4 linked regions of the Saccharomyces cerevisiae S288C genome follow. The gene in region 4 interacts genetically with the main gene of each other region. Each region holds a gene or a part of one and is shown on either strand. Other genes may lie near its edges. The genes, in order: SMT1, COQ10, ULP1 and SLX1.

Region 1 (8,594 bases), on a different chromosome or scaffold from region 4:
TATCTTTACCCTTTAGATATCAAGTTACAAATCATCGATTTAAAATTGCATTGGAGGAGGGAGTTTTACAATAATGATTATTTTGTTAAAAAGATACGACCCGGCAATCCTCTGACTAAACTATCGGAGGTTTTTGACAAGAGGACATTGAAAATTCTTACCATCATTTCTTGGAATGACACTTTGTTAAAACGCGAGACAGAAATGCTGAAAGATTTTAAAGAATTTGAGAACCTGGAAGATTTGTCTTTGATTTCTATTAAGCAGGATGTTCATATCCTCGTAGATCTTTTTAGTTCGTTAACCAATTTGAAAAGACTAAAAATGGATTTCTTAGAGGAGTATGTACCTGAACCCACAAATCCTCACATATTTCTCTCCATTCTTTTAGCTTGCTCCAAATTGCAATTCATAGATCTGAGATACGACGGTCTTATCCCACAAATCATCAATATTCAAGAAAATAAGTTCCAACTAAATCAGCAATGCAACTGCACAAACTGTCAAATAGTATTCAGTGACATTCTGAAGGGCAAAATATTCATGTTCCCTGAAGACTACTATATTCACGATCTTCAAGACATTGCTGCAAAGGATATTTTTAAAATGATGAAATACCTATCTTTGTTACCATACTCTAAAGCTTGTGATGCTTATCCGAGCGTTAGAACACAACCAATGAATTTGACTAATTTTGTGACCAAGATGAACCGCAACCTTTTGGAATATAGAAATTCTAAATCCCAGTTGGTGCCCAAAATCGTTAATAACCCACATCAACACTCCACCGTGACTTCCACATCAACCGCTCATATGAGCGAGCCCGAAATGATAATAATCGATGACGATGATGATGATGATGAAATTAATGCGGCCATTCCTCCAAGTAGTGATGACACAGCAGCTACAATTTCCACTGACCTGGAACTTCCTCATGAATCATTGACCAAAAGAGATATTATTATGTGTTATCACGCTCTTATCCATCACTTCAAGTCGATTTACGTTACTTTTTTGAAAAGTTTTCCTCATTTGAGATTCTTGATGTTGAATGACATTCCCACAATAGTTATGGAGGAGAATAATGAACGTATTTTTGAACCCGTCTTTTATCATTATGATTATAAGAGTAATCTGTATGGATGGTCAAAGGAATCGAACAAGAATCTGGAGAACGACAGCAACAACAACAATAATAATTCTGATACCATTGCAAGAATAGCCACTGTTATGTAATCAACTCCCCTTCAAATATATATATTTAATAATATATATTCAACGCATTTTTTAAGCTAGCAGGATTCAGATTACTGGTCTACTTCATATTAAGGAAATACAAGATCCATTCGGATGCTAGAAAAAAATCAACCAACTATTCCAATGTTGGTAAGCTGGTTTGATAAAGTAAACACAAGATACTACAGTATACGATCACTCAGACATCCTAGGAAGGTCTCTAAAGAAGAGCGGTCACCGAGAGTACTAACGATGGGTTCGTAAGCGTACTCCTACCGTGGAAACTGCGAATGTTAAGGAACCAGTCTTTCATCACCGTGATCATAAATTATATATATTATCTGTCTCCTCAAATTACCCACATTTGATAATCTCATGAGAAAAAATAAAGGCTCAGATCTGCATGTGTTGTATAACACTGGCAAGAAAAGTTCCCGTTTGCAAACACAAATGATTAAAAAAAAATGTCACAGAAGCAACATCTTTTCAAAATCATTCGCATTAAGAGAACGAGATAAAATCCCTTGTCGTCATGGTCGAATCGGACGAGGAAAGAAGAGACACCATTATCATCAGGGCCAATCAATTCTTCTTTTCTGTTTAAAAAAGTGTCATGAAATTTCTCTTGAGATTATTCAAACTTGAATGTATCAAATGGGAAGGAGTGCAATGCTGAAGTCGAAAGAGGAGGATTACTCTCATTCTTACTACATTACAGTCACTGCTGTTTGTTCTTATGTAGGGGAATTCTTATTAACCGAATGTCGAGATTATTATAACCTTACAGAAGGTTGTCCAGTATTTATACATTTTGTTTCTGCCCATAAAGCTCTAGAAAATGAAAAAAAATTTTCTTTTCAGCCTGAGAAAGTTTTTTCTTAGGGCAGCGTGTGGTTATTGGGTGTTGCGAAACTTTTTTTCTCAAACATGAAATTAAAGAAATGAAAAATTTTATCGATGAGCATTGAATAGCTCAAGTTATAGGGTATTCGGTATCATATAGGTCTGTGATCGAGTGAGCAGTGAGCAGCTAGGATTCAATAAACGGGATTAACAAAAAATTGATATGTCCAAGCTTTCGAAAGATTACGTATCAGATTCAGACTCTGATGATGAAGTGATATCAAACGAGTTCAGCATACCAGATGGTTTCAAGAAATGTAAACATTTAAAGAATTTCCCTCTCAACGGTGATAACAAAAAAAAAGCGAAACAGCAACAGGTTTGGCTGATCAAATTCCCATCAAATGTGGACATCTCCAAGTTAAAATCTCTGCCTGTAGATTTTGAATCCTCTACAACCATGACAATTGATAAACACGATTATAAAATCATGGACGATACAGATATTGAGTCCTCGTTAACACAGGATAACCTCAGTAATATGACTTTATTGGTTCCTTCGGAAAGTAAGGAAAGTCTTAAAATTGCTAGCACTGCCAAGGATAATGCACCATTACAGTTTGACAAGGTATTTTCTGTCAGCGAAACCGCTAAAATCCCAGCTATTGATTACAGTAAGGTAAGAGTTCCACGTAAAGATGTTCCAAAAGTAGAAGGCTTGAAGTTGGAGCATTTTGCTACTGGTTATGATGCCGAAGATTTCCATGTGGCTGAGGAAGTTAAAGAAAATAAGAAAGAACCAAAGAAGCGTTCACATCACGACGATGAAGAGGAGTCTAGTGAAAAGAAGAAAAAGAAGAAGGAGAAGAGGGAGAAGAGGGAGAAGAAGGATAAAAAGGATAAGAAAAAGAAACATAGAGATTGAATGCGTATGTGCGTATAACTGTGTGTAACATAAGATAAAAATGTGCATTTGTGTGTGTGTCAGTGATTTTTTTTCGCATTTACATATATAAAAAGGCATTTCTGCTGGTGGAAACTGATGAATGTTTTGTGTGGGCAATATTACTATTTAGTTTTGCATACTTAAATTTGTGTATACGATTAGAAATTTCAATATTTCGGGTGTAACACAAACGATTATTTTTTTCTTGATTTAGAGTCGCCATATGAATATTATTAACCTGCTTTTTCTGTGTTCTCTCTTATATGAGGTTCAATGGTAAGTGTGTTTTTAACTCGTGTTCTTCTTCATTAATCATCTTTAATACACTTCCAAGGTTGACCTGTAAATCTTCAAAGATTAGTTTATCCTGGCACGTCCGATGGATACTCCGTATAGAAATATCTAAGGATCTAATAAATTTGTATTGGTCCATTATTGGTGTGGACGGTTTCTTCGGTGACTCCAGCATTATTTTGCTTTGTATACTCAATTTTACGATATCAATTAACCATTTTTTGACCAATTTTGGTTCCTCTTCAACGCATTTCGAAATAGCCCTTAAAATACGAACAAGCAGGATTTGATTTTGGGTGAAAGAGAAACCATCATCTTTATTGTGGTTCAGGACCGTTAAATCAGGCAATATATGTGACTTTTCATACAAAGATTGATAAATTAAAATCAAATCGTTATTCCTCCAATTTGCGCCTAAAAGCTTAATGTAATGAATTATATTTTGACGAATATTATCTTCAGATACGTTAGAAGTTAGACATCTCCACAAAAGACGTCGCAGAGGAAACGGTAGATCACTGTAATCGGACAACCAACGAGGCTCGTAGTCTTTTCTTATTTGCACATCGTGCGTTCTATAATACAACAGGATGGATATCACTACTCTTTGGTATTCGTCAAACAAGGCTCTGTGCTCCCATACTTTATCGAATTTGTTGAACTTTTTTGAGAGCAAAATTTCTGTTATTTGACGCACATTAGTTAACTTGCCCACATACTGCAAAAGCAGCAGCCTATCATATAGATCCTCGGACGATGAACCTTGTAGTTCCTTCGAAGAAGAACTTTTGTTATCCGTTGCCTGGGTAACTATTGAGTTCAAATGTGAGAAAAGCACATCGTAATGAACAGCTACTTTTTGTTTCTTGGACTCTACTTCCGGTAGATTTGAATTCAGTATTCTCAGGATGTTCTCTATATGGTGATTTTGAAGATTATTTTCTTTAGTGCGTGAACGATTCAATAAGGAACCTTGTTCATTAACTTCAGAAGATTCAAACAAAGGCCCCAACAACTTCACTGGACCTTTGGTCAAGTATTTTAGAGTTGATTTCAGCTCATCATCTTTCGACTTCAATAGTCGGGTTGCTAACTGAGAAAAAGTCCTCCTCATAATCAATGATTCCTGTAGATAAAATTGACAAAAGGCAGCGCACGCACTATTTCCCTTTAGCCAGCACAATTACTTATGCGTGTTGTTGTTTAGGGTTCGTAAATCTATATTGAAACGCAATTTATATTCTACTGTTTTCTTTTCGCACAAACAGAAAACCGCTGTCACATTATTGTATGACTGTTGATATCGGACCATCATTTTCGACACTTTCATTGAGGGGAAAAATGTTGGTGTCATTACGCTCTCTACTCATGTCTTTATGTAAGTATACGTTTACAAGATTATTTATATGCTATGACACTACGGGTTCTCAACTTGCAGCAAAACAAGAAGCAGTTAGCGGCACATTTCGGTGCAAAAACTTATCAGCAGTTTTTGCTGCCTCTCTTTCACTAATCTAACTTACTATGTACGGCCGATAGCAGTATATTGTGCTTTTTACTGTCTTTTATTACTTTTGCTGTTGCTCTTGCTCTTGACTGTTCCCATCTTTGCTTCGGAAATTTCCCCATGCGCTGCAGGACAGAAACACAAGCATGATTGAAGCAATCGAATTGTGCAGTCGAGTTCAAAATTGGCAGAGAAGAAAAGAGGTGGAAATTGCAACACGAATCACCGCTTTACCACGCAAAGATATCTGGATTCTTGATATCAATCTTTTTCAAATATATTTTATTTATTTATCAAAAGGGCAAGAAAGAAAAAACGATTGATAATAAAAATGGATAATCAGCAGGAAAGTATATCTGAAGATATCACCGGTGATCTGGCCGCTGCTGTGAGAAAGTCATGGTCCGAGTCACAAGATAATCCATTACTGTTAAATTTTAATAATTCTCCCATAGGTACTCCCACTGATAGGTACTCCCCTGAACCAGCAACGATGATGGAAGGAAATGCAATGAATCTTTCATCACTTGCGAGAGGGTCGACACAGCAGCAGCAAAGGCTTTATGGATCTTCTCAAACACGCGAAAAATCTGATCAACAGCAGCAGGATTATCAGCTGTTCAAACATCATTATTCTTTGGGACAGGAGACGAGAGAGTCTGTTTCAGATATCCTTAACGATTTGACTCTAGGATCTCCGGAACCAAGCGAAAGGGCATCACCAATAAGGCAACCATCGGTGGATGTTCCACCTTTAACTACAAGGCGTAGTTCTATACAGGACGTTCAGTGGATAAGACATTTACTGAACCCAAGAAGTTCGTTTTCCGGCGCATCTTCCAATGAACCAACCAACTCTCCTGGGGATTTTCTTAATCAGAGCAGGGCTTGGATAACAATACTGCACGATTCATCGGCAGAATCTTTACAGGCTGTCATCGTATTGGCCGAGTCATTGAAGAATGTCAATTCTCAGTATAATCTCTGGGTATTGCATTCCAGTGAAGTCAACGCCTTTCAATTGGCCCAGGTAGGAATCAAGACGCTGATAATAGATGAATATATCAATTTATTCATGAATTTCGGCACTGGCTCGGGATTTAGCGCAAGTTCGCAATCGACCGAAACCAAGGGCGAATTGAATTTTAAGTGGTGCAAGCTATTTCTTTTTTTTTCGTTAATTGATCGATTCGAATTGATTTGCTATTTATCCCCTACATGCCTGGTACTGCAAAATATTGATGAGCTTCTAGAGAGCACTGAAGTATCTGACGAGATTGATAACGAAACTTGTGTATTGTTATCGAATAAGGTAAATTATATAAATGAAGATCTCGTTAGCGTGAACCAAGACCAATCTTCCGCTGAAAATTATGATGACGATCCTCAAATTATTATACTGAAGCCGAACAGGGCAGTAGCAATGTGCATTAAGGAATACTTTACTATTTACGGGAACGATTTTGAAGGTGAAAGTAAAAGGTCGATGTTTCATCAAATGAACGATTTACAGATTATGAAAGCATTGTTTGGCGATAAATGGAGTTATATAGATAGCGTTGGATACTGTGCTGTTCCCATAGCTAGCGTGCCAGCGAATAGATTGAATTATAAGATAATCGAATTTAAAATCCTGAAACCTTGGGAAAGACAAAACTACATTGCTGCCGGTCAACATCGAGAATCTATTATGAACAAGTGGCTAGATCTTTGGCGAGACTTTTTGAACCAAGCAAACTAAATAAGAATAGTACTGCTTTTCCGCAATTCTTCAATATTCATTAAAGGCGGTCCGGTACCCTCTTCATAGTTAATCCCATCATACTTATAATGTGTTTCATTAAAATGCAGTTATAATAACAAAAAATTATATTTTTTTTTGCTGAAACATGCCGGTACACCGTATTTGTAATCACTTCCTTTTGTATACTACCACATAGTCATTATCCTTCTTTTTAATTCCTTTTTTTTTGGTTTCCTTTATCATCACTATATCTGAAAGTTCAAGGTTATTTTAGCACTTCTACATTCTCGGGTGTGGCTAGAATTGGGCGGAATGAAAAAAAAAAACTATGTCCATCGCTTTACTAATTAGTGATCGCACCAAGAAAAACGAGCTGTACATTGCAATTGTACCTCTTTTTTTTTTCCTACTTAGAATCCCAATCGTAATTAATTCACTAAATTAACATCCTTAAAATGAAATTCGACAATGACAGTGAGAAGCAGGTTTTCGATAAGCTTAAAAAAGCGATTCCTGGTATTATCAAGGAAAAATGTGCAGGATACGATGAATTGTATGGTTACAAGTTGAATCCTGAAGGTCTTACACAAGAGGAGGTTGATAAATACTATGACGAAAAAATCGCCGATCGTCTAACCTACAAACTTTGCAAAGCCTATCAATTTGAATATAGCACCATTGTACAGAACCTGATCGATATTTTGAATTGGAGGAGGGAATTCAACCCATTGAGTTGTGCCTACAAGGAAGTCCATAATACAGAATTGCAAAACGTTGGTATTTTGACATTCGATGCAAACGGCGACGCAAATAAAAAGGCTGTCACTTGGAACTTATACGGCCAACTGGTCAAAAAAAAAGAATTGTTTCAAAATGTGGATAAGTTTGTACGCTACAGAATCGGGCTCATGGAAAAGGGTTTGAGCTTATTAGATTTCACCAGCTCCGACAACAACTATATGACCCAAGTCCACGATTATAAAGGCGTCTCCGTGTGGCGAATGGATTCTGACATTAAAAACTGTAGCAAGACGGTCATTGGAATCTTTCAAAAATACTATCCAGAACTGTTATATGCAAAGTATTTTGTTAATGTCCCCACCGTTTTCGGCTGGGTTTACGATTTAATCAAAAAGTTCGTTGACGAAACCACCAGAAAGAAGTTCGTGGTATTAACCGACGGCAGCAAGTTGGGTCAATACTTGAAGGATTGCCCATATGAAGGGTATGGCGGGAAAGATAAGAAGAACAATCTGACCAAGCAAAATGTCACAAATGTCCATCCAACAGAATACGGCCTTTACATTTTACAAAAACAAATCATCGAGGACGTTGAGTGATTTGTTGGCATGATCTAATAATAGTCTCTTATATAAACCCTATAATAATTTCTTATTTTTGCCTTATATTCAGGTAAATCACCATCTAACTGTATTATCTCTCACGTATCTTCACTTATATGGCTCAGAAAACACCGTACGAAACGAAGGGGCTGCGAAAATGTTTCTAGAAGGTAATGGCAATAATAGGGATACAGATCGATCAGATCCGCCTATATAAAAGACAACGCACCGAAGGTGAACAAGATCGCAGATAAAGGTATTTACAAGGGAAAAAAGTCAGCAAAAACAAGAGATAAGATAACAAGAAGAAGATGTTAAGGAGGGAAACTTCAACAATATACAGGACACACAAAAAAAGCAACAGTAGTATACTCAGGAGCCAGCGGGACCAGACTAGAGTGGATTCCTTGGTAGAGGAGTCTCCCATGGGCGATTTCGGGATCAATAACCAGCCTACACAGCCTGGCGTGATATACTACTTTGTAGAGCTGACTAATTTAGGCATACAGGAAAACACAAGCAGTAATAATAACAACAACAATAATCATGGTGACGATGAAAACGGCAGTCGATACGGCCACGGCAGCAGTCTGGGTGGAGACGTTCACTCTCGCCGTTGTTCATGAACTCCAGCATTATAAAGCATATCTAACAATACCATTCGGGTTATACTGAATAGCC
Region 2 (6,058 bases), on a different chromosome or scaffold from region 4:
GAATAAACTCCACTCACTTACCTAGTTTCATCACAAGATTAGCAAGACATTTTCTAAAGGATTTATCTCAAGATTTTAATGATATCGCTGTTTACAGTCCTAATCCATTTAAAGACACGAAGTTTTTGGATAGTGACTATACGACAAGTATTGTTGATTCAGACAGCCTATTCTTAGTTGACGGCGGTGAAGACGACGAAAATGTTCCTGTGTTACCGCTTATACAAAAGGAACGTGATGTGGACATTATTTTTGCGGTAGATAATTCTGCCGATATGAGATTGGCTTGGCCTGACGGTTCTTCTTTAGTCCATACCTATGAGCGTCAATTCGTTAAGCAAGGTCAAGGTATGTCCTTCCCATATGTTCCAGATACGAATACATTCGTTAATTTGGGTTTGAACAAGAAACCAACCTTCTTCGGTTGCGATGCTAATAATTTGACCGATCTTCAATATATTCCACCTCTAGTTGTTTATCTGCCAAATGCAGAATACTCTTTCAATAGTAATCAGAGCGCGTTCAAGCTATCATATTCCGAATCCCAAAGAAGAAGTATGATTCAAAACGGGTTTGAAATTGCAACTAGGAACAACTTCACTGATGATCCTGAATTCATGGGCTGCGTCGGCTGCGCCATCATTAGACGTAAGCAACAAGCTTTGAATATTACTTTGCCTCCGGAATGTGAAACCTGTTTTAAAAATTATTGCTGGAATGGTACCCTGGATACTACCCCATTACCAGATGTTGAAAAGGATGTTCACCACTCCTTTATCAACGTCAATAGCTTCAACAGCTCCATAGGACAAGAAGAAAGTCTTTACGCCGGATCTTCAGCTTCCCAGTCATCGTCTTCATCATCGTCTTCATCTTCGTCTTCGGAAATTCCTTCGGCTACTGCAACCCTTGAGAAAAAGGCAGCTACTAATTCTGGATCACATTTATCTGGCATAAGTGTAAAGTTCTCTGCTATGATTATGCTTACTTTATTGATGTTTACCGGAGCAGTATAATATCTCTTGCGTAATAACGGTATACAAAATGAGGCAATAAAAATCAAAGAACTACACTATAAAATAACGAAACATAAAGCTGAAAGACTAGCAAAATCACTAAAAAACTAAAATAAAAAAAGAAAATGAGCATTTCCCCTTTGCATTGAAGTATCATCCCTTTCGGGCAAGACCATGTTTAAGGAACTTCACTAATGACATCGGAGGTCTATATATAGCAGACCTCTTCTTTAAAAGATATAACTTTATAATTATAACCCCGCGCAAAGCGTATTAATACTTTAAATGGGTAGTCAAGTTGCTTTTATTACTTGCACTTACTTTGAAGGAGGATGTCAGAATTACCCTCGCCATATTGGTAATGTAATTTTTCACGGACTCGAGATTGAAAAAATTTCAGAAAAATTTGCAAAAAAGTGCCGATGAGATGAGCCTTCATAAGCTACGTATGTTGTAAGGGTATAACATCTGTCAAGCTTCACCATTGTCAACACTTTTCCACTAGGATAATCCTCCAAAAGTATAGCAATGTCATCTTCCGCCCCCAAATACACCACTTTCCAAGGGTCACAAAATTTTAGGTTACGGATCGTCTTGGCAACATTATCAGGGAAACCAATAAAAATTGAAAAAATCCGTTCAGGCGACTTAAATCCCGGTCTGAAAGATTATGAAGTGTCTTTTCTAAGGCTGATCGAGTCGGTCACCAACGGGAGTGTAATTGAAATTTCTTATACCGGTACTACTGTGATTTATAGGCCCGGTATCATAGTTGGTGGTGCATCAACTCATATCTGCCCTAGTTCCAAACCGGTAGGTTATTTCGTCGAACCAATGCTATATTTGGCTCCATTTTCAAAAAAGAAATTTTCTATATTATTCAAAGGCATAACTGCATCTCACAACGATGCCGGTATTGAAGCTATCAAATGGGGACTCATGCCCGTTATGGAAAAATTTGGCGTTAGAGAGTGCGCCCTACATACTTTGAAAAGAGGTTCACCACCACTAGGAGGTGGCGAAGTGCATTTGGTTGTTGATTCTTTGATTGCGCAACCTATAACTATGCATGAAATAGATAGGCCCATAATTTCATCGATTACCGGTGTAGCATACTCTACCAGAGTAAGTCCGTCGCTTGTGAATAGAATGATCGATGGTGCTAAGAAGGTATTGAAAAATCTGCAATGCGAAGTTAACATAACGGCAGATGTCTGGAGAGGTGAAAATTCAGGGAAGAGTCCAGGCTGGGGTATTACTTTGGTTGCTCAGTCCAAGCAGAAAGGTTGGAGTTATTTTGCAGAAGATATCGGTGATGCAGGTTCTATACCTGAAGAACTTGGTGAAAAAGTTGCCTGTCAATTATTAGAAGAAATATCAAAGAGTGCAGCAGTTGGTAGAAACCAGCTTCCATTAGCAATTGTTTACATGGTCATCGGGAAAGAAGATATCGGCAGATTGAGAATTAATAAGGAACAGATAGACGAAAGATTCATAATCCTCTTGAGAGATATTAAGAAGATCTTTAATACTGAAGTCTTTTTAAAACCAGTTGACGAGGCGGATAATGAAGACATGATAGCTACTATCAAGGGTATTGGTTTCACAAACACAAGCAAAAAGATTGCATAGCATGTTCTAATATTATTCAATAGATATTAGACCACTGTATATAAGTTATATATATATATATGATTATTTAGGTGTAACTTCACGGACAACTGTCTAGAGTATAAGATTACTGGAGGATCATTGATGATTTCCTTTAACTCTTTTGGGTCATCTAAAATATCATCAAAGAGCGTATGCGAAAAGCGCGTTAAGAATAGATTACTTCATGACAAAATATAATTTTCCAGCTCAAAAATGTTTGTTTTTTTATGTAGACACTATTTTCAAACTATCTTTGTTAAATTACTCATCACCATCGTTGAAATCCAGATTAATCCAACTTGGCCATGCTAACTCCTTTCTTAAAAAATCTTTGAATATCGTAAACAAAAACTGTTCTAGTTCTCCAACACTTCTTAATACTGAGCCCTGTCCCTGATATTGTTCCCCTATTTCGGTTTCAATCTTCATACTTCTCACAATGGATATTCGCTCCAATGGCTTAGTAGCTGCCAGAATTGGCCCCTTAGGATCTAAAACAGTTTGGTTGTCATCCAGTGCAGGATCACTAACATCACACAGAAAGCTAAGAAATAGTTGCTTTGATAAACATGCAACAATGCAAAGGGAATGGAGACCGATATCACTGATAGAAAGTTTTACTGGCAAAGTCATAAATTTTTCTACGGGATAATTCAGCACAAGGTCGGCACCAATCGTAACGAGTAAGTCACCCTTGTACTCGACCTCTAGTAAAAATTGTATATCGTTGGGGGATGGCATCACCACAGGCGCCTCAAAATCATCTTTAGGTCCTTCATGATTAGCTATAGTACGATCAGGACAAATATGTTCGCTGTCCTCCTTGTTGTCATTATTTTCCTCCGTCTCTTGATCAGCCTCCTCTCTAATTGAATCATAAAACTCATCTAGGGGATCTGTTATTTCTTTCAGTGTTATAGCAGGACCAACTTTTCCCAGATCAAAATCTAGTACCCTAAGATTACTTACGTAGCTTGGTAGTTGCGTATTTTGTAAATATGAATTTAAATGTTTTCTTATAAGATCATTCAGTCTATTGTCAGATTCCAATGTACTCCAATTAATATCAAAAGACATTTGGATTAGTTGAAGCCAGCTTATGATCTGTTTCAACCGTTACATAGGATGGCATGCTTTTTCTCATGTTAGAGAAAAATTTAAAGATCGAGTTGTCTGAAAAACCTGAACTATTTAAAACGAATAATAGGATAAGGAGCCAAACAATAAACGGCTAAAGATACCGTGGAGAATGGTTTTGATAATAAGGCCCTCACAGACATTGATATTATTCAGGAAAGCGATGCTCAAGCCAATTGGGAGATATCCTCTTAAAAGAAATTTTTTTGGTTTGAGCGGTACCAATCACACTATTAGGGAACAGCGATATGTTTTGCGCAAGGCCATAAACGCCCCTCCAAGCACAGTCTACGCTGCAGTGTCAGAAGTTGCCCAATATAAGGAATTTATTCCTTATTGTGTTGATTCGTTTGTAGATAAACGAAATCCTGTGGATAACAAGCCTCTCATTGCGGGGCTTCGAGTTGGTTTCAAACAATACGATGAGGAATTTATATGCAATGTTACCTGTAAAGATACTGATCATACGTATACCGTTGTTGCAGAAACAATATCTCATAATTTGTTTCACCTTTTGATTTCGAAATGGACCATAATGCCTCACCCAAATAGACCAAATGCGGCCATGGTAGAACTTCTATTAAGATTTAAATTCAAATCTCGGATATATAACAGTGTCTCTCTAATATTTGCGAAAACTGTGACTGAATTGGTGATGAACGCATTTGCCAAAAGAGCATACCATTTAGTAAGATTAGCAATGCTAAAACCTTCTTCTAAAGAAGGCTCTCCGTGATATCTTCCGTATAATTTCAGATAACAAAGATCATGCCATCCAGGATAAGCGTATGCATGGTTAAATTTTTAGACTATAGAACAAGATTTTTCTGTATAGTTATGTTTATAGTATTTAAGCTTTCTAACAAGCTCCAGTAGGGGCGGAGGATACAAACAAATATATTTTGCTGCAAAATTTCCTGGTCTTCCGTCGCAATCAACAAGTTGATACGCAGATGCACCATTTTATTCATTGGCAAAGTACGATCAGTTTAGTGCTTGTATCTGTATGCGAAAAAAGAATGGTGTACTAAAAACAGCGCATGGTGATGGCGAGGAATTTACACGTATCCTCTCATTAATTGAAGTATTAGGTTTTCGAGTCGCACTTAGTGTAAATGAGGTGTAGAAAGGTGGGGACGCAATTATTCCTTACCGTCGAGCAGTTGATCCAGATGAACACTGGGAGGACGGTACTTCTTTACTTTACCCTGACTAACATTTGATTTTGGAGTAGAGCGGTCTTCAGAGTCGGGACTTAAATTGTATGATGTATAATTGAATGGATTAGTGCTGTCTGTAAACTTTCCCAGTATTTGGGTAGCACCAGGTTCCCTTGGAGTACTGGACAAGGAATCATATATAGCACTCTCATTGCTTTGAGACCATGTATTAGAGTTGTTGGCATCAGATTGCAGAATTTCGGTGGGTGAAATAAACATAGATGATCTGAAGTTATCGTTGGCATCTGTTTTATTGTTCAAAAGATTCAAAACAGAAGTGGATCCTAGAGTATACAAACTCATACGAGATGAGTTATTTTTCAGAACTTTTTCTGATATGTCACTGTCGTCAGAATGGGAAGATGTTTCACTTTCGTCGTCATTAATGTTTGTTTGGAAGTAGAAAGGATCGTGTTGGTATTGATTTTCTAGATTTCTCAGCTTATTTTCCTTTCTAGCACTTCGCCATGACTTTATATTCAATGCAATCCATGCACCCGTCAGTGATAGTAGAATTGCACCTAAACAGCCAGCAAATGCAATGAACACAGTACCGTTAGGATGATGAGCCTGATATAAGAATTTATTTCCGTCCGTAACCGGGATATAAACGCTGGAAGGTGTAATAGATGAAGTTGATATTACACTGTTGTTGCTCCATAAACTAGAGTTGGTGTATAAGCTTGTACTAGCGCTCGTGGTGATTTTGGGCATTTTAGTGCTTGAAGTGACATTATGACTTGACGAAACATCCTTACTGGTTACTGAGCTTTTGCCTAAGGACGTGGTTGTCTTGGCTGAAGAGCTGCCTTTACTAGAACTATCTGCTGCCTTTGTACTACTTGATAAAGAGGGCAAATTTGCAGCGGAGACAAGTTGAAATTCTTGTAGAGCAAACAAATGAAGTAGTAGTATCACTTTCCAAATGGAGATTTCTGGCAGTCTCATTGTGTCGTTACTAGTTTATGTTGACAATCTTTTCCCTATTAATAGTTAAAGACTTTCCTGTTTCACCGTAAAGCGTCCTTCTGC
Region 3 (8,931 bases), on a different chromosome or scaffold from region 4:
ACCTTCACGTTTTACTATCATGGGAGGAGGTACAATTGGACTAGAAATCGCATGCATATTCAATAATTTGGGCTCTCGGGTTACTATCGTTGAATCTCAAAGCGAGATCTGTCAAAATATGGACAATGAGTTGGCTTCTGCCACGAAGACCCTCTTGCAGTGTCAGGGTATAGCTTTTCTTTTAGACACTAGAGTGCAGCTCGCGGAAGCCGATGCTGCCGGTCAGCTGAACATCACCTTGCTTAACAAGGTGTCAAAGAAAACATATGTACATCATTGCGACGTCTTGATGGTTTCTATTGGTAGACGTCCCCTGCTAAAAGGTTTAGATATTTCCAGCATTGGTCTAGACGAACGGGATTTTGTAGAAAATGTTGACGTACAAACCCAAAGTCTGCTAAAGTACCCTCATATTAAACCCATAGGAGACGTTACATTGGGCCCCATGCTGGCGCTGAAAGCGGAAGAACAAGCTATAAGGGCCATTCAATCAATAGGCTGTACAGGCTCCGACGGAACCTCGAATTGTGGCTTCCCACCAAATGTGCTGTACTGTCAGCCTCAGATTGGCTGGGTCGGATACACTGAGGAGGGGTTGGCAAAGGCTCGCATCCCATATCAAAAAGGCAGGGTTTTGTTCTCACAGAACGTTAGATATAACACGTTATTACCACGGGAAGAGAATACTACAGTTTCTCCTTTCATTAAAGTTCTGATAGATTCTCGTGACATGAAAATACTAGGCGTTCATATGATAAACGACGATGCAAATGAATTGCTGTCGCAAGCATCGATGGCGGTGTCGCTTGGCCTTACCGCCCATGATGTCTGTAAAGTACCGTTCCCTCATCCGAGCTTATCGGAATCGTTTAAGCAAGCCGTCCAGTTGGCAATGGCAAATGGAACATCACCTGGCGTACATGTCCGGGAATAGGCAAACGTTGCAGATCTCCTTTAACCCGGTTTTCACACCATATTCCTTGATAAGTCCGTAGCATATCTCGTCCAAATCTATCTGGTTAAATCTTTCTCCCCCCTTCCATAGCGCTATTGAAATTTTACTCATGGGCAGAAAACAGTTACGAGGTTTGCCTCTCTCACCGGGCATTGTAATGATGAAATTTATCTGCAATTTTATCGTCGTGAGTCTTCCTTCTCTAATAACTCTTTCCACAATTAATGAGTCACTATTATTCATTAGATAACACCTGGTTTTCCTTTTCAATAAATTAATCAAATTTTGGAAAATTCCAGTTTTTTTGGACTTGATCTTATCAAACTCATAAAGGCTTAATAGACACTTCTGGAAGTTACGTGTTGCCAGTAATTGCTTGGCCTTCAGTCTAACGTTTGTGGAAATTCGCAAGATTTCCCACTTCAGCAGTGTGGAATCTTCAAATTTATAGAACATTTTGAACTGAATTTCAAAAGGATTCATCGTGTTTCTGCAGAATTTATAATTGACCACCAAAACTTCAATCCCATCGTTATGTACTCTGTCTCTTGATTGCACAGAAACTTGAAGATGCGGGTATGTGTGGTCTCTCAAATAACTTAGCCGTAGATTCATATTTAACAAAGGTAACGTGTCGTATTTTGTTACTAGTTCCTTCTGCAAGTTAGTTAGCCCATTGATCCTCTCGACCCGCTTGCGGTCACTTATCGCCGAATTAGGATTAGAGGATGAGATCGAGATTAGATTAAGAAAATCCTGTGTGATATCGTTTTGGAGGATATCACCATTTTTAGTCTTACTGTTATTTTCCTTCATCAAGATATTTTGGTACGTCTGGATCTCTTGTAAAAGAGTATTTCTCCTTGTCAACAGCGCATCCTTCTCCTCCTGTAGCTTCAGTGCGCGTACCTGATCATCATCTAATAGCGATAGTTGTTGCTTCTCGTCCCCATCAATGTTTACATCTGCTTCACCAGCATGATGTGTACCCACAGCGTCTTCCAGACTTAAATGCGAATTCGATGTGTCGTGCGAATTCGTCGTATCAGACGTAAAATCCATATTTGCGTTCTTTGCCGACCTAGTATCAACAAGATCACACTAGCTCCAAGGTATATAGCTGTTTATATAAGTCTAAATTACGCGTTTCTGATTTTTCGGCGGACTCCAACTATTAGATAGTCACCATTACCGGTTACATTACCGGCCACATAGTAGAACGCCAGAGTATATATGCCGTGACCTTCACGGTTTGGATGTTAATGAGTAACTTGCACAGCTATTGGTATTTGGACTTCTTGGCACATTTTTCCCTGTACAGCTTTTCTTTTTTTCAATGTGCGAGGGCCCACGTGGCTTAATACAACACAGTGCAGTCGCAAGCACGTGCATGCGATTTTGAAAGCACAAGGCAGAAACGTGGAAACATACACACACGCACACACCCAACTTTCGAGTGGGTTTCATCCAGGAAGAACTTTTAAATAGAGGCCAGAGAGCGGCTTACATCAGACATCTTTTCTCGAACTTACTTCATCTTCTCAATATCGAGAGGGCCCATTGGCGGGTAATAATACGCATAAGAGTGATCTAATCCAAGTAGTACCTCCTTAGCGCTTTTTTTATTATCACTATAGGTCATTTGGCTATTAGAGCGAACAGCAGAATTTGTCCTTGGTTTTCAGAGTTTGAAAATGCTATTTGGTATTAAACTGGCTAACGACGTATATCCTCCCTGGAAGGATTCATATATCGACTATGAAAGGTTGAAGAAATTACTAAAGGAAAGCGTCATACATGATGGCCGTAGTTCCGTGGATAGTTGGTCCGAAAGGAATGAATCTGATTTTGTGGAGGCCTTGGATAAAGAACTAGAAAAGGTTTACACATTTCAAATTTCCAAATATAATGCTGTCTTGCGAAAATTAGATGATTTAGAGGAAAACACTAAATCAGCTGAAAAAATCCAAAAAATAAATTCTGAGCAGTTCAAAAACACCTTAGAAGAATGTCTAGATGAGGCTCAAAGATTGGATAACTTTGACAGGTTAAATTTTACTGGGTTTATCAAGATTGTGAAGAAACACGATAAATTACATCCAAACTATCCTTCTGTAAAGTCTCTTTTACAAGTCAGATTGAAAGAACTTCCTTTCAACAATTCAGAAGAGTATTCTCCCTTGTTGTATAGGATCTCATATCTGTACGAGTTCTTGAGATCAAATTATGATCATCCAAATACGGTGTCTAAATCATTAGCAAGTACTTCTAAATTATCACATTTTTCTAACCTTGAAGACGCAAGTTTTAAAAGCTACAAGTTTTGGGTTCATGATGATAATATAATGGAGGTTAAGGCTAGAATCTTAAGGCATCTACCTGCTTTGGTTTATGCGTCGGTTCCAAATGAAAATGACGATTTCGTCGATAATCTAGAATCAGATGTCCGCGTACAACCTGAAGCGCGCTTGAATATTGGTTCAAAGAGTAACAGCCTTTCTAGTGATGGTAATAGCAACCAAGATGTTGAAATTGGAAAATCAAAGAGCGTTATTTTCCCACAGTCATATGATCCAACAATCACTACATTATATTTCGACAACGATTTTTTTGATTTGTACAATAACAGATTGTTGAAAATCAGCGGTGCACCTACGCTGAGATTAAGATGGATCGGTAAACTGCTAGACAAACCTGACATATTTTTGGAAAAGAGAACTTTTACAGAAAATACCGAAACTGGTAATTCAAGTTTTGAAGAAATCAGATTGCAAATGAAAGCCAAATTCATCAACAATTTTATTTTTAAAAATGATCCCAGTTACAAAAACTATTTAATTAATCAACTAAGAGAAAGGGGTACTCAAAAGGAGGAACTGGAAAAACTTTCTAGAGACTTTGATAACATCCAAAACTTTATTGTTGAGGAGAAGTTGCAGCCAGTTTTGAGAGCTACCTATAATAGAACTGCTTTCCAAATTCCTGGAGATCAAAGTATTAGAGTCACTATCGATTCCAATATCATGTACATTAGAGAGGATTCTTTGGACAAAAATAGGCCCATTAGGAACCCTGAGAATTGGCACCGTGACGATATTGATTCCAATATTCCCAACCCATTGAGGTTTTTAAGAGCAGGAGAATATTCGAAGTTCCCCTATTCTGTAATGGAGATTAAGGTTATAAACCAAGATAATTCTCAAATGCCTAATTATGAGTGGATTAAAGATTTAACTAATTCACATTTAGTTAACGAAGTTCCAAAATTTTCTTTGTACTTGCAAGGTGTGGCTTCACTGTTTGGTGAAGACGATAAATATGTCAACATTTTGCCATTCTGGTTGCCCGATTTAGAAACCGACATCAGAAAGAACCCTCAGGAGGCTTACGAAGAAGAGAAGAAAACTTTACAAAAACAAAAGAGCATTCATGATAAACTTGATAATATGAGAAGGTTATCCAAAATCTCTGTACCAGATGGAAAGACCACTGAAAGACAAGGGCAAAAAGATCAGAATACTCGCCACGTTATTGCAGATTTAGAAGATCACGAATCATCAGATGAAGAAGGTACTGCATTGCCCAAGAAATCTGCAGTCAAAAAAGGGAAGAAATTCAAAACGAATGCAGCTTTCTTGAAAATTCTTGCTGGAAAAAATATTTCAGAAAATGGAAATGATCCATACTCCGACGATACAGACAGTGCCTCTTCTTTCCAATTACCTCCGGGAGTTAAAAAACCAGTTCACCTTTTGAAAAATGCCGGTCCTGTCAAAGTTGAGGCAAAAGTTTGGCTCGCCAATGAACGTACATTCAATAGATGGTTAAGTGTAACCACATTGCTGAGTGTATTGACCTTTTCTATCTATAATTCAGTGCAAAAAGCCGAATTTCCACAACTAGCTGATCTGTTGGCCTATGTATATTTCTTTTTGACTTTGTTTTGCGGAGTATGGGCTTATAGAACCTACTTAAAAAGATTAACTCTTATTAAAGGTAGAAGTGGTAAGCATTTGGATGCACCTGTGGGACCTATTTTGGTTGCAGTTGTATTAATCGTTACCTTGGTTGTTAACTTTAGTGTGGCTTTTAAAGAGGCCGCTAGGAGGGAAAGAGGATTAGTAAACGTTTCCTCCCAGCCTTCGTTACCCCGTACACTAAAACCAATTCAAGATTTTATCTTCAATTTGGTTGGGGAATAAGAACATGTATATTTTTTATATACACATATATTACACAAGTACCAGTTACTATCATAATTAATTAATTGTTCTCTATTTATACATATTTGCTCTTCCGTATTAAATCATATTAAACAGCTTTCAGCAGGTGCCGGCGCCGCCTCTTTTTATTTTCAAAATTCAAAATGCACATAATGAGAAGATGTGTGTGATAGTTAAACCCAGATCAAAAAATAGCTGAAACGTTCGTTTCAGCTCCGCAAATCTATATTGCTAATTAAAATTATTCATCAATATCTACTTCTGTTTCAGTTTTTTTCCTCTTCTTCCTCTGACCTTTGGATATCATAATAATGTCAGTTGAAGTAGATAAGCACCGGAACACACTACAGTATCATAAAAAGAACCCTTACTCCCCTTTATTCTCCCCAATTTCTACATATAGGTGTTATCCTCGGGTATTGAACAATCCCTCCGAGTCTAGAAGATCAGCCAGTTTTAGTGGTATTTATAAAAAAAGAACCAATACGTCAAGATTCAATTATTTAAACGACCGCCGTGTTTTATCAATGGAAGAATCAATGAAAGATGGGTCAGATAGAGCTAGTAAAGCTGGTTTTATAGGAGGCATAAGAGAAACTCTTTGGAACTCAGGTAAGTACTTATGGCACACATTTGTGAAAAACGAACCTCGCAATTTTGATGGTTCTGAAGTAGAAGCAAGTGGTAACAGCGACGTTGAGAGCAGAAGTTCTGGAAGTAGGAGCAGTGACGTACCATATGGTCTACGTGAAAATTATTCCTCGGATACAAGAAAACACAAATTCGATACGTCGACGTGGGCCTTACCAAATAAAAGGAGAAGAATCGAAAGTGAAGGTGTGGGGACACCTTCAACCTCACCAATCAGCTCTTTGGCTTCTCAAAAAAGCAATTGTGATAGTGACAATAGCATAACTTTTTCGAGAGATCCTTTTGGTTGGAATAAGTGGAAAACAAGTGCTATTGGTTCTAACTCAGAAAATAACACTTCTGATCAGAAAAATAGCTACGACAGGCGACAGTATGGGACAGCCTTTATTAGAAAGAAAAAAGTTGCAAAACAGAACATTAACAATACTAAACTGGTGTCGAGAGCACAATCTGAGGAAGTAACATATTTACGACAAATATTCAACGGAGAATATAAAGTTCCAAAAATATTAAAAGAAGAAAGAGAAAGACAGTTAAAATTAATGGATATGGATAAGGAAAAAGACACTGGCTTAAAAAAGTCTATAATCGACTTAACTGAAAAGATCAAAACAATTTTAATTGAGAACAACAAGAACAGACTACAGACAAGAAATGAAAATGATGATGATTTAGTATTTGTTAAAGAAAAAAAGATATCTTCTTTGGAAAGGAAACATAAGGATTACTTAAATCAAAAGTTGAAGTTTGATAGATCTATATTAGAGTTTGAGAAAGACTTCAAAAGATATAACGAAATTTTAAATGAAAGAAAGAAGATTCAAGAAGATCTTAAAAAAAAGAAAGAACAATTGGCCAAGAAGAAACTTGTTCCTGAATTAAATGAAAAAGACGATGACCAAGTACAAAAAGCTTTGGCATCTAGAGAAAATACTCAGTTAATGAATAGAGATAATATAGAGATAACAGTACGTGATTTTAAGACCTTGGCACCACGAAGATGGCTAAATGACACTATCATTGAGTTTTTTATGAAATACATTGAAAAATCTACCCCTAATACAGTGGCGTTTAATTCATTTTTCTATACCAATTTATCAGAAAGGGGTTATCAAGGCGTCCGGAGGTGGATGAAGAGAAAGAAGACACAAATTGATAAACTTGATAAAATCTTTACACCAATAAATTTGAACCAATCCCACTGGGCGTTGGGCATAATTGATTTAAAAAAGAAAACTATAGGTTACGTAGATTCATTATCGAATGGTCCAAATGCTATGAGTTTCGCTATACTGACTGACTTGCAAAAATATGTTATGGAGGAAAGTAAGCATACAATAGGAGAAGACTTTGATTTGATTCATTTAGATTGTCCGCAGCAACCAAATGGCTACGACTGTGGAATATATGTTTGTATGAATACTCTCTATGGAAGTGCAGATGCGCCATTGGATTTTGATTATAAAGATGCGATTAGGATGAGAAGATTTATTGCCCATTTGATTTTAACCGACGCTTTAAAATAGTTATTCTTTTATAATATACAATTATTATACATAAGTAGAAATATTCAGATCATTGGATATGGAATAAAGTTCAATAAACCACTTGAAAATAAATCATAAGAATAGCATAAGCACCAGCTCAATTTAGATGTCTGTACAAAAAGTAATATATTTTAGAGATGAGCAGGCAGAACCACACATTAGTGACGATTGTCTTCGACCTTATGTGGAATCTTAAGCTTTAACATATAAGTAAAAATTTTTATTTTCAACAAAAGATTAGAACGAAATGAAATTCCTTAATTGAACCTTCTCTTGGATATCAATCTATTGGCAATCATTCCTAGAGAATATATTATTGAGTGAAAACTGTAGATACGTGCTAAGCGGTAAAGCCCTTATGAACATCGTCACACTATCTCTATATTGAGCCTCCGTAAATTTCGAATCATTTGAAATTCATTTTTCCTGGTAGGAAGATACTTGATAGTGGAGGATAAGTAAAGTAAATTGTGGTTATCATTTATTTGGTGGTAAAGTACCTTTTTTATGTTTTTTTTGAAGATGGAAATTCAGGCATTTTAAAAAAATAGAAAGCTCGAAATATCTCAAAAAACATAAAAATAGAGGAAGAATCCGCTGAATATACCATCTTTACAAACTACTTAACTATTTATTTTTAAATATAAAATTTTTAGTACCATCATCGGAGGATTGTTGCGATCGTATTTTTTTCTCCATTTTTTTCCTATATGCTATGCCACATCGACTACATAGCTCAACATTTCCATTAGGTCCACTTCTCCACTGAGAAGTCCAGGTGTCACCACAAGTGGCGCACTCTTTTGGTTGACCGTTGGGGAGTATAGTTTGTTTCTTCCTACTTTTAGGTCTATATCCTGCTAAAGATTTCTTTCCATTGGATGATATTGGTAGTGATGAAAAAGATGGGGCTGGTAGAATAGAGGGGTTATGCAAAGGCCCACCAAGACGACTTTCTTCCTTCAATTTTGGACTCAGCGCACTATTTAAGCTTTTGATCTTCTGTTCAAGAATATCTGCTCTTTTTAAATCTGGCGTGACACCAGATTTCGGGATACTGGCTACTGAACAGCAATAATTGGGATTAGCGGCAATGAACAGAACCATTTGTACAAAACGATCGAAGTGGAATTTCGTTCTACGACCAGAGCTACTAGCGCCGCTTGTTCCCTGCTCTTTGTTATATAACATAATATGATTTAAAAGTTCTATCACTCAGCACTACAACGCAGTATTTTTATTCTAGATGACCAGTATAGCAAATATTGTTACCCTTGAGATATTGGTAATTTAACCAAATCTCAAGTCATAAATGCCTCCCTTTTAAGTTTACATAGGCAGTGGACAGATTGGTACATCATATTAAAGGAAATAATGAACGCTAAAAAGAATGCCTTTTACTGACACATTCACTTTTAATACGAAAACGGATTTTGTGGTATATGACGTTGAGCACTGCGTGGTTTTCTGTGAATCCGCCGTGCCTAAAATGGACCCTTAATTATTTAACAATAGACCGGCCCGAATAATGTTAACATGAAGGGAAAAGTGCACA
Region 4 (8,072 bases):
CCCCTGATACCGAGGGACGAGCCGTTGGAGATCTTTATGTTGATGATGGAGAAACTTTTGGCTACCAAAGAGGTGAGTACGTAGAAACTCAGTTCATTTTCGAAAACAATACCTTAAAAAATGTTCGAAGTCATATTCCCGAGAATTTGACAGGCATTCACCACAATACTTTGAGGAATACCAATATTGAAAAAATCATTATCGCAAAGAATAATTTACAACACAACATAACGTTGAAAGACAGTATTAAAGTCAAAAAAAATGGCGAAGAAAGTTCATTGCCGACTAGATCGTCATATGAGAATGATAATAAGATCACCATTCTTAACCTATCGCTTGACATAACTGAAGATTGGGAAGTTATTTTTTGAGGGAAAAAAACGAAGTGATATCTTTACATCTTTTTAGCTCTTTCTTACAAAGTAAACGTAAAAATATCCGTAAATATAACATATAACCATTATCTATAGAAAAAAAAGAACCGAAAATTGTGTCAGGCCCTACTTCCCGTGAGCTAACTTCATTCTTGTCGAAAACTTGACTAGGGTCGTCCAGTCGCAAAACATATCACATTTCGGACATTTCCCACCTCGAGGTATCAAATTTCTTCTCCCTACCATCAACTGTTCATCATCTAGAAAGTACCTGTGAAGACATTTCAAGTGGTTAACACACCCACAGTCTTTATTATTGCAAAGCGCTACAAACGGCTTCAGATTTTGCTCTTCAGACGTGTAGTCAATTTCTTTCTCACAAATTTCACATCGCACTACCCCTGTAGTTAGTTTCTTTTCGAAAGTTTCGAATATGTTTCTTTCATTTTCAATGACTTTAGTGTATACAGCTTCCACCACTTTTAAATTCTCATCACTATGATCCATGAGAACATCCACAGTTTTCTCCTTTGGTTCTTCAAGCGCATTTTCATTTATTTGTATATTAATCGGAAATCTGTCTCTTTCAATAAAAAATTTGTCCTGTTTCCAAACCTCCCAAGCCTTTATATTAAAAACCTCGACTATCAAGTTCATCCTTTGAAAAAATTCATGCTTTAAAAGTAACTTCATTAATGCAACTTTGTGATGTAAAGTTCTTCCACCTGCTTTATGCTTTACAACACGATCTTTTTCGGCAATATAATGCGTTTGGTACCCATGTTGCCATGCATGTTCAAACTGTAAAGCTGCTATCTTACTTGGGAAGCCCCGCACAATCATTATCATTTCCCAGGGCCTTGAACCGTCACGTTTGGTTCGATATGCCCCTCCAACAGCCAATTTCCCATTATGCTGCCTCAAACGTCGTACTGGGTTAGGAGTTGATCCAACGTAAAATGATTGCCTCTTGTTAATCGATTGTAGTAGATAACAACAATAAAAATCAGGAAACTGATGCTGCTGTATTTTCTGCGACATGGTACCTTTCTTATCTTTTTAATATTTTTTGAAAAAAGAGAACATTAATTTGACAATATTTTTTCGATGATAGAAGGGAATAAGTCATCAGTGGTATATATTAAAATTAAAAAGAAAAGCAAACGGCTCATCAAACAAAACCATAGAAGACAAGGCACTCTAATTACATTTCACACTCATGTTGAAATCTGCAAGCCAAAACTTTTTTAGAGCTTATTCTAGTAGAATTGGTCGATATGCTGCTACAGCATCAGGGAAACTGGCACAGTCTCGTTTATCGAATATACCCACTCCAAAAGCATTGAAGAAATTCCTCGATGAGTACATTGTTGGTCAAGAGATTGGTAAGAAGGTTTTAAGCGTGGCAGTTTATAATCACTATTTAAGAATCAATGACAAGCAAAAGAAAGGGGAATTACAAAGGCAGAGAGAATTGATGGAACGAGAGAAAATCGCGGATGATAGGGATGAACCAATTTTCAGTGGAAACAGCGAATCAAAGGCTGGTTGGAGGAATCTTCAAAGACAGTTTAATTTAGCAGGTAGAGAGGTTGACGAAGATTTAGAGTTAAGCAAAAGTAATGTCCTTGTCGTTGGTCCCTCAGGTTCTGGTAAGACTTTGTTGGCAACAACATTGGCGAAAATATTAAACGTTCCAATTGCAATTACAGATTGTACACAATTGACTCAAGCAGGTTACATAGGTGAAGATGTTGAAGTATGCATTGAAAGATTGCTCGTAAATGCTGAATTTGATGTTGCGAGAGCAGAAAAAGGTATTATTGTTCTTGATGAGATTGATAAACTAGCCAAGCCTGCCGCAAGCATTGGCACTAAAGACGTGTCCGGAGAAGGGGTTCAACAGTCATTATTGAAAATCATTGAGGGCCATAAAGTGGAAATTACCGTTAAAAGGCCTGTTAAGCATGATATTGACGGACAAAAAAATCAAACTACAACAAAGAAGGACGAAGTATTTGTTGTAGACACTTCAAATATTCTTTTCATGATTATGGGAGCTTTTGTTGGTTTAGATAAGCATATTGTTAAAAGGATAGAAGATATGAAGAAAATACAGAAGGCAGGAGAGTCTGTTGAATCATCGAATAGTAAAGAAGTTGAAAAAGAAAGAGCGAAGAAGTTCAGATTTAGCAATACGCTTGAGCAGGTTGAATTAGATAACGGAAAAAAAGTGTGTGCTTTAGACTTGACCACCCCCACAGATTTAGTTAGCTTTGGTCTAATTCCTGAATTAATTGGCAGAGTCCCAATTATAACTGCTCTGCAGCCTCTACAAAGAGACGATTTATTTCATATATTAAAAGAACCTAAAAATGCCTTATTGGATCAATATGAATATATTTTTAAGCAATTTGGGGTAAGATTGTGTGTTACACAAAAGGCGCTAAAGAAAGTTGCTCAATTTGCTCTCAAGGAAGGAACTGGCGCCAGAGGGTTGAGAGGGATAATGGAAAGACTTCTGCTAAACGTTAATTATGATTGCCCGGGTTCTAACATAGCATACGTTTTAATCGACGAAGCTACTGTCGACTCGTTACAGGAAACAGAGCACTCTTTGGCTTCCCAAGTGGACGTAAAATACTATTCTGGTGATGAAAAGGACAGTTTAATTCGTGACGTTTCTGAAGAAGATAAAAAATTAGGAGTTATGCTAGAAAAAGAGTTGGGTCATTCTGCTAACATTCATACCCCAACAATTCCCAAGAGAAGCTTAACATAAAAAAAAATGAATGGTATAGAATATATAAATATAGATGTAATAAATGTAGTAAATGAACAAATAATCTTCCTACAAAGTACTATGCCATGGGAAGTAAAAAAAATTAATAAATATTGGCTAAAGTGTTTCAAATTGGTTCTACGATACTGGGAGACTACTCCTTATCATAATGCTTTTTGTCCAGTAGTAAAAATTGAAGTAATTCTTGAACAATTTAAAAAAAAATTGGAACGGCGGCACAATTATTTGGTATATGGCAGCTTTGGCTTTTGCGCCACCACATACAAAGTTCTAAAGCAGCCAGCGTTGTCATCGATTTTTCCTATGTGTTCTTCCACATATCTTTTGAAAAGAGTGGTGGGGTCGGTATCCTTTGGAGGACAACTACTATCTGGTAGTTGCCTCCTTAACATGTAGTCCCACATATCTAAAGAATTAAATTCATTCAAAAAGCCCATATCTGTTTTGAAGTCACCAGTTTTCAAACTTAGGACCGAGGACTTGATGCCTGTAAACCCTACATCCTTGAATGTCCTCGTTAAGTGTTTTGTAGGATGGATATGTAAGCCTTTATTTATCGCATCAATAGCCATAGCATCAAATGTCTTGTCCCGTTCTTTTGTAGTCAAAAACTCTTCTGATGAATTATTTGCTTTTTCGGCATCGGCGTTGCCAAGAATTCCAGTATAGTATGTGTTTGAAATCCTTAAATCTGGAACAATTGCCAGCGCGTACCCGCCAGGAATTATTGATCTGTATATTTCCCTAAGTAGAGCTTTCCATTTATAATAACTTAAACTTGTCCAGACCCACGGGCATATTACAGCAGGTATAGTGTCTGATGCAAACGGCAGTCTTAATTTTAAATATTCTTTACCATAAATAGCTGCGCTTTTTGCCCTGTCAAGTCCTTCATTTGGAAAGGAGTTATCCGAATTAGAGGATATTGGTGATGACAAAGGTGGTTCATCTTCAGGCTGAAGTTGTGCATTAGAGGACCTCTTCACTTCCTTTGGCAAAATAAATTGGGTCGGTAAATCGATTTCTTTGTAGTTGTTCAAAGTCCGGCAAAAAAAATTCTCCAACCATTCATTTTGATGTGCTTGGTTGGCTGATTTGACATGGGGAGCTTTCTCTGTCCGAGGGGGACTAGAGATATGTGACTGTGGTTGAATTTTTGGAGAAGAAGAAGAAGATATGCTAGGTGAAACTGAAGGGCTTGTAGTATGTGAAGTTGATGCAAGTTGAGAATGCTTTCTCTTGAAAAAGTTGACGAAACCAGATTTTTTAGTAGCCTTGGTAGGGCTCTTCTTCCTTTTGACAGCATCTGCTCCCGAGGACGGCAATGATAAAGATCTACTTGAAGCGAATTGGTCGTTTAGAGGGTCTTCCTCAACTCCCTGATTGAAGTTGTTTCTAGAAATACGTTCTTTTGCATCATCTGTAAAGAACTTTCTATTCATGCAATCATACATATACTCTGAAGCATTGGAAGAATTCAATTCGATAACTTCTTGTTCGTCAGAAACTATTTTCGCTCTTGAACCCTTTCGTGGCAAATAATTTTGTAAGTTTGTTAAATACTCAGGAGCAATTTCACTAGCATTCTTATTCTGAGCGTCATTGTCACTGCTGTCAATCATCCAGGGAGATAAATCTAATGCGAAATCTGCGATGTTCAAGCTTGGTTCATCATACGCCAGCTGCCAACCGCCCAGGGTTTTATGCAGCGGTCTTATTAATAAGATGTCAATTTCGTCTAATGGATCCGATATTACTGGCCTTGGAGAGTTTGCTTCTATATCTAACTGCTGAATATATAATGTAGGGTCACTGATCTTGTTGCTGGTGGTGCTGATTGTTGGATTAGAATGTTGTCTTGTGGTTGGTTTTCTTTTTATTAGTTCCTCCACTACTTCAGATGAAAAGAAGAATGAATTTGATTGCAGTAAAAATTTTTGAGATTGAGCCAACCATAATTGAATCAAGGATTCAATTTCAGAATAATCTTTTAACGGGTCAAACGATGGAAAGCATTTAACCTCAGTCTCTATATTTATGATGTTTTCAATGTTAAATGGATAACATTCAAATGCATATTTCCTAGATTCCAAATATTTTGTTAGGAAATCAATGTACGACCGTAATCTTTTCTTGGCAAATATTAAAGAGTCTTCTGGCGAGGAGTCCATGTTAAAAGATAGAAACAAGTCCATTCTATTAAAGAGCTCATTATGATTCGGGTCGTACATTATTTGTTTGAATTCACCGTCTATGCAAATGTTGATTAAATTATGATTTCCTGAAACGGTTTTGATTAGAAGAGAAGAATCTGATGCCGGTAAAGTGTTCCAGTCCCATTTTTTTCTAGAATGGAGTTTCTTGACAACGTTCGAAGTTGCACCGTGTAGACCACCACCTCCCCGGCCATTGCCGACCATATTGGATACAATGAATCGCGGTGCAGAAGGGTCTGGTGAGTAATTAGCTTTCACTTCGGAAGTCGGAGTTCCGCTTCTATGACTATGTTTATTATTACTTGTATGATGATGATGTAGACCTATTTTGGAAAGCTGAGCGGACTTCAGTTTGGATACTGAGGATGAGGCAGCGGAGTCAGATGATCGTCTTGACGAGTTTGAGAACAAGTCATCCGCCAGTCTAAAGTTTGGCAAATGTAAGGGCGAATCAAAGGACGAGAGCTTATCTGAATGATGGCTTACTTGTGGTGAGTGTGATTCTACTGAACTACTTGATTGCGTGGTTCCATTTCTACTCTCTTTTTCTTGTTTCCCCTTTTCTTTGTCAGCATTTTTATGTTCAGTAATCATTGAACTTGTATGGTTATCATGTGCTTTTAAGTTGGAAATTTTGTTACTGGTTATACTGGTTAACCCCCTATCATTCTTACTATCAATGTTTTTTGCTTCCTTATTGGAGCCCATTGTATTTACTTGAGCAGTTTATAAAAAGTGGATAAATGAGGGGAAAAATAATAAAAAAGAAAATTGAACAATCCTTCAATATGTGTCCTTTAATAATTACTACTACTTTACACACTTCTCCAGTAGCTGCTGCTTGTTTCAGGTGATGTGAACAACGTGTTTCAGCGTTCTTGGTAAGTGTTGGTATGGATCCCTTCTGATGTATTTTCGGCGGCCGCACTAAACTGCGAAAATGGTAATTTAATAAAGGGCTTATAAAGAGGAAAATAATGCAGAGAAACGGTGAGCCCAGACAAGAATGATGATAATGTGTTTTCAACCGATCATTAATGTCACGAGAAACAAATTTCAATGGAACTAAGAGGAAGAGGTCGGATGTTGCCGAGAAAGTAGCACAACGGTGGAAGAGCGTCAGGTATAGTGCTGAAATGGAGAATATGGCTCCGGTCAACAGTAACAATGATAGCGACGACTGCGTCATAGTCAGTGAATCGAAAATCATTGATTTGACTAATCAGGAACAAGATTTGAGTGAGAGAATAGAAACAAACGATACGGCAAAAGGTGCCGTTTTTAAACTAATGAAATCGGACTTCTATGAAAGAGAGGATTTTATGGGAGAAGTAGAGGATATGATTACATTGAAAGATATCTTTGGCACTGAGACACTAAAAAGAAGCATACTCTTCAGTTTCCAATACGAACTTGATTTCTTGTTGAGACAATTCCACCAGAACGTAGAGAACATAACCATCGTCGGCCAAAAGGGTACTATTATGCCTATCGAAGCCCGTGCTATGGACGCGACACTGGCAGTAATATTAAAAAAGGTCAAACTTATTGAAATAACGATGCCCCCATTCGCTTCCCACCATACGAAGCTGATCATAAACTTTTACGATAATGGCGAATGCAAAATATTCTTGCCATCTAACAATTTTACGTCAATGGAGACTAACCTGCCTCAACAGGTGTGTTGGTGCAGTCCCCTTTTGAAAATAGGTAAAGAAGGGCTACCAGTACCGTTTAAGAGAAGCTTGATAGAATACCTCAATTCGTACCACCTGAAAGACATTGACGAATTGATTACAAAAAGCGTAGAGGAAGTTAACTTTGCTCCTTTGAGCGAATTAGAATTTGTATATTCTACGCCCTCCAAATTTCAGTCGTCGGGTTTACTGTCGTTTTACAATAAACTAGAAAAACTTTCTGCTGGCACAAGTGCTAGTGATACTGCAAAACATTATCTATGTCAAACTTCATCCATAGGGACATCTCTATCAAGAGCGCGAGACGAAAACTTATGGACACATCTAATGATTCCTCTGTTTACCGGAATCATGTCCCCTCCAGCAAAGGACACCGCTGGGAGGAAGAAAGCAGAAATACTGCCAACGAATTCATTGATTAATGAATATTCGCAGAGAAAAATCAAGCCGTACATTATTTTCCCCACCGAACAAGAGTTTGTCACCAGTCCCTTAAAGTGGTCCAGTTCCGGGTGGTTTCATTTTCAATATCTTCAGAAAAAGAGCTACTACGAAATGCTGCGAAACAAGTTCAAAGTATTTTACAAGCAAGACCCTGCTATGGTTACTAGAAGACGAGGGACGACGCCCGCGCACTCTAAGTTTTACATGCATTGTGCAACAAACTCCGCAGGGCCCTGTGATGCATCGCAGGTATTTAAAGAACTAGAATGGTGCCTTTATACTTCGGCAAACCTCAGCCAAACAGCATGGGGCACCGTTTCAAGAAAACCACGCAATTATGAAGCAGGAGTGCTTTACCATAGTCGCAGGTTAGCAAATACCAGGAAGGTCACGTGCCGTACTTTTACACGTGACCGTAGAGGCTGCGCGGGTAATCCCACCCATGTGGCCGTGCCATTCACGCTGCCAGTCATACCATACGACTTAGCTGAGGACGAGTGCTTTTGCCTTGCTCGTCATGAGAACGACTAACAAGTAA

Evidence for each region.
Region 1: mutations in SLX1 (region 4) and SMT1 together harm fitness more than expected from each alone (negative genetic interaction), as found in Saccharomyces cerevisiae (2 studies listed by BioGRID).
Region 2: mutations in SLX1 (region 4) and COQ10 together harm fitness more than expected from each alone (negative genetic interaction), as found in Saccharomyces cerevisiae (2 studies listed by BioGRID).
Region 3: mutations in SLX1 (region 4) and ULP1 together harm fitness more than expected from each alone (negative genetic interaction), as found in Saccharomyces cerevisiae (2 studies listed by BioGRID).

The regions. Positions count from the first base shown.
Region 1 is NC_001142.9:138,135-146,728, forward strand, and holds SMT1 (Smt1p), read right to left. Parts: upstream 4,434-8,594; coding exon 3,285-4,433; downstream 1-3,284. Other genes in the region: SCF ubiquitin ligase complex subunit DAS1, read left to right, coding at 1-1,236; DNA-directed RNA polymerase I subunit RPA34, read left to right, coding at 2,303-3,004; IDS2 (Ids2p), read left to right, coding at 5,158-6,567; SFH5 (Sfh5p), read left to right, coding at 7,026-7,910; ROQ1 (Roq1p), read left to right, coding at 8,225-8,539. UniProt on the Saccharomyces cerevisiae protein: Component of MIOREX complexes, large expressome-like assemblies of ribosomes with factors involved in all the steps of post-transcriptional gene expression.
Region 2 is NC_001147.6:306,394-312,451, forward strand, and holds COQ10 (ubiquinone-binding protein COQ10), read left to right. Parts: upstream 1-3,918; coding exon 3,919-4,542; downstream 4,543-6,058. Other genes in the region: PLB3 (lysophospholipase), read left to right, coding at 1-1,016; RCL1 (rRNA-processing endoribonuclease), read left to right, coding at 1,545-2,648; ERMES complex subunit MDM12, read right to left, coding at 2,931-3,746; CSI2 (Csi2p), read right to left, coding at 4,949-5,974. UniProt on the Saccharomyces cerevisiae protein: Required for the function of coenzyme Q in the respiratory chain. May serve as a chaperone or may be involved in the transport of Q6 from its site of synthesis to the catalytic sites of the respiratory complexes.
Region 3 is NC_001148.4:510,737-519,667, reverse strand, and holds ULP1 (SUMO protease ULP1), read left to right. Parts: upstream 1-5,489; coding exon 5,490-7,355; downstream 7,356-8,931. Other genes in the region: IRC15 (Irc15p), read left to right, coding at 1-934; CTF19 (Ctf19p), read right to left, coding at 908-2,017; VTC3 (vacuolar transporter chaperone), read left to right, coding at 2,650-5,157; ECM23 (Ecm23p), read right to left, coding at 8,004-8,567. UniProt on the Saccharomyces cerevisiae protein: Protease that catalyzes two essential functions in the SUMO pathway: processing of full-length SMT3 to its mature form and deconjugation of SMT3 from targeted proteins. Has an essential role in the G2/M phase of the cell cycle.
Region 4 is NC_001134.8:668,656-676,727, reverse strand, and holds SLX1 (endonuclease), read right to left. Parts: upstream 1,416-8,072; coding exon 501-1,415; downstream 1-500. Other genes in the region: glucan 1,3-alpha-glucosidase ROT2, read left to right, coding at 1-371; MCX1 (Mcx1p), read left to right, coding at 1,594-3,156; YBR225W (uncharacterized protein), read right to left, coding at 3,399-6,101; TDP1 (tyrosyl-DNA phosphodiesterase 1), read left to right, coding at 6,431-8,065. UniProt on the Saccharomyces cerevisiae protein: Catalytic subunit of the SLX1-SLX4 structure-specific endonuclease that resolves DNA secondary structures generated during DNA repair and recombination.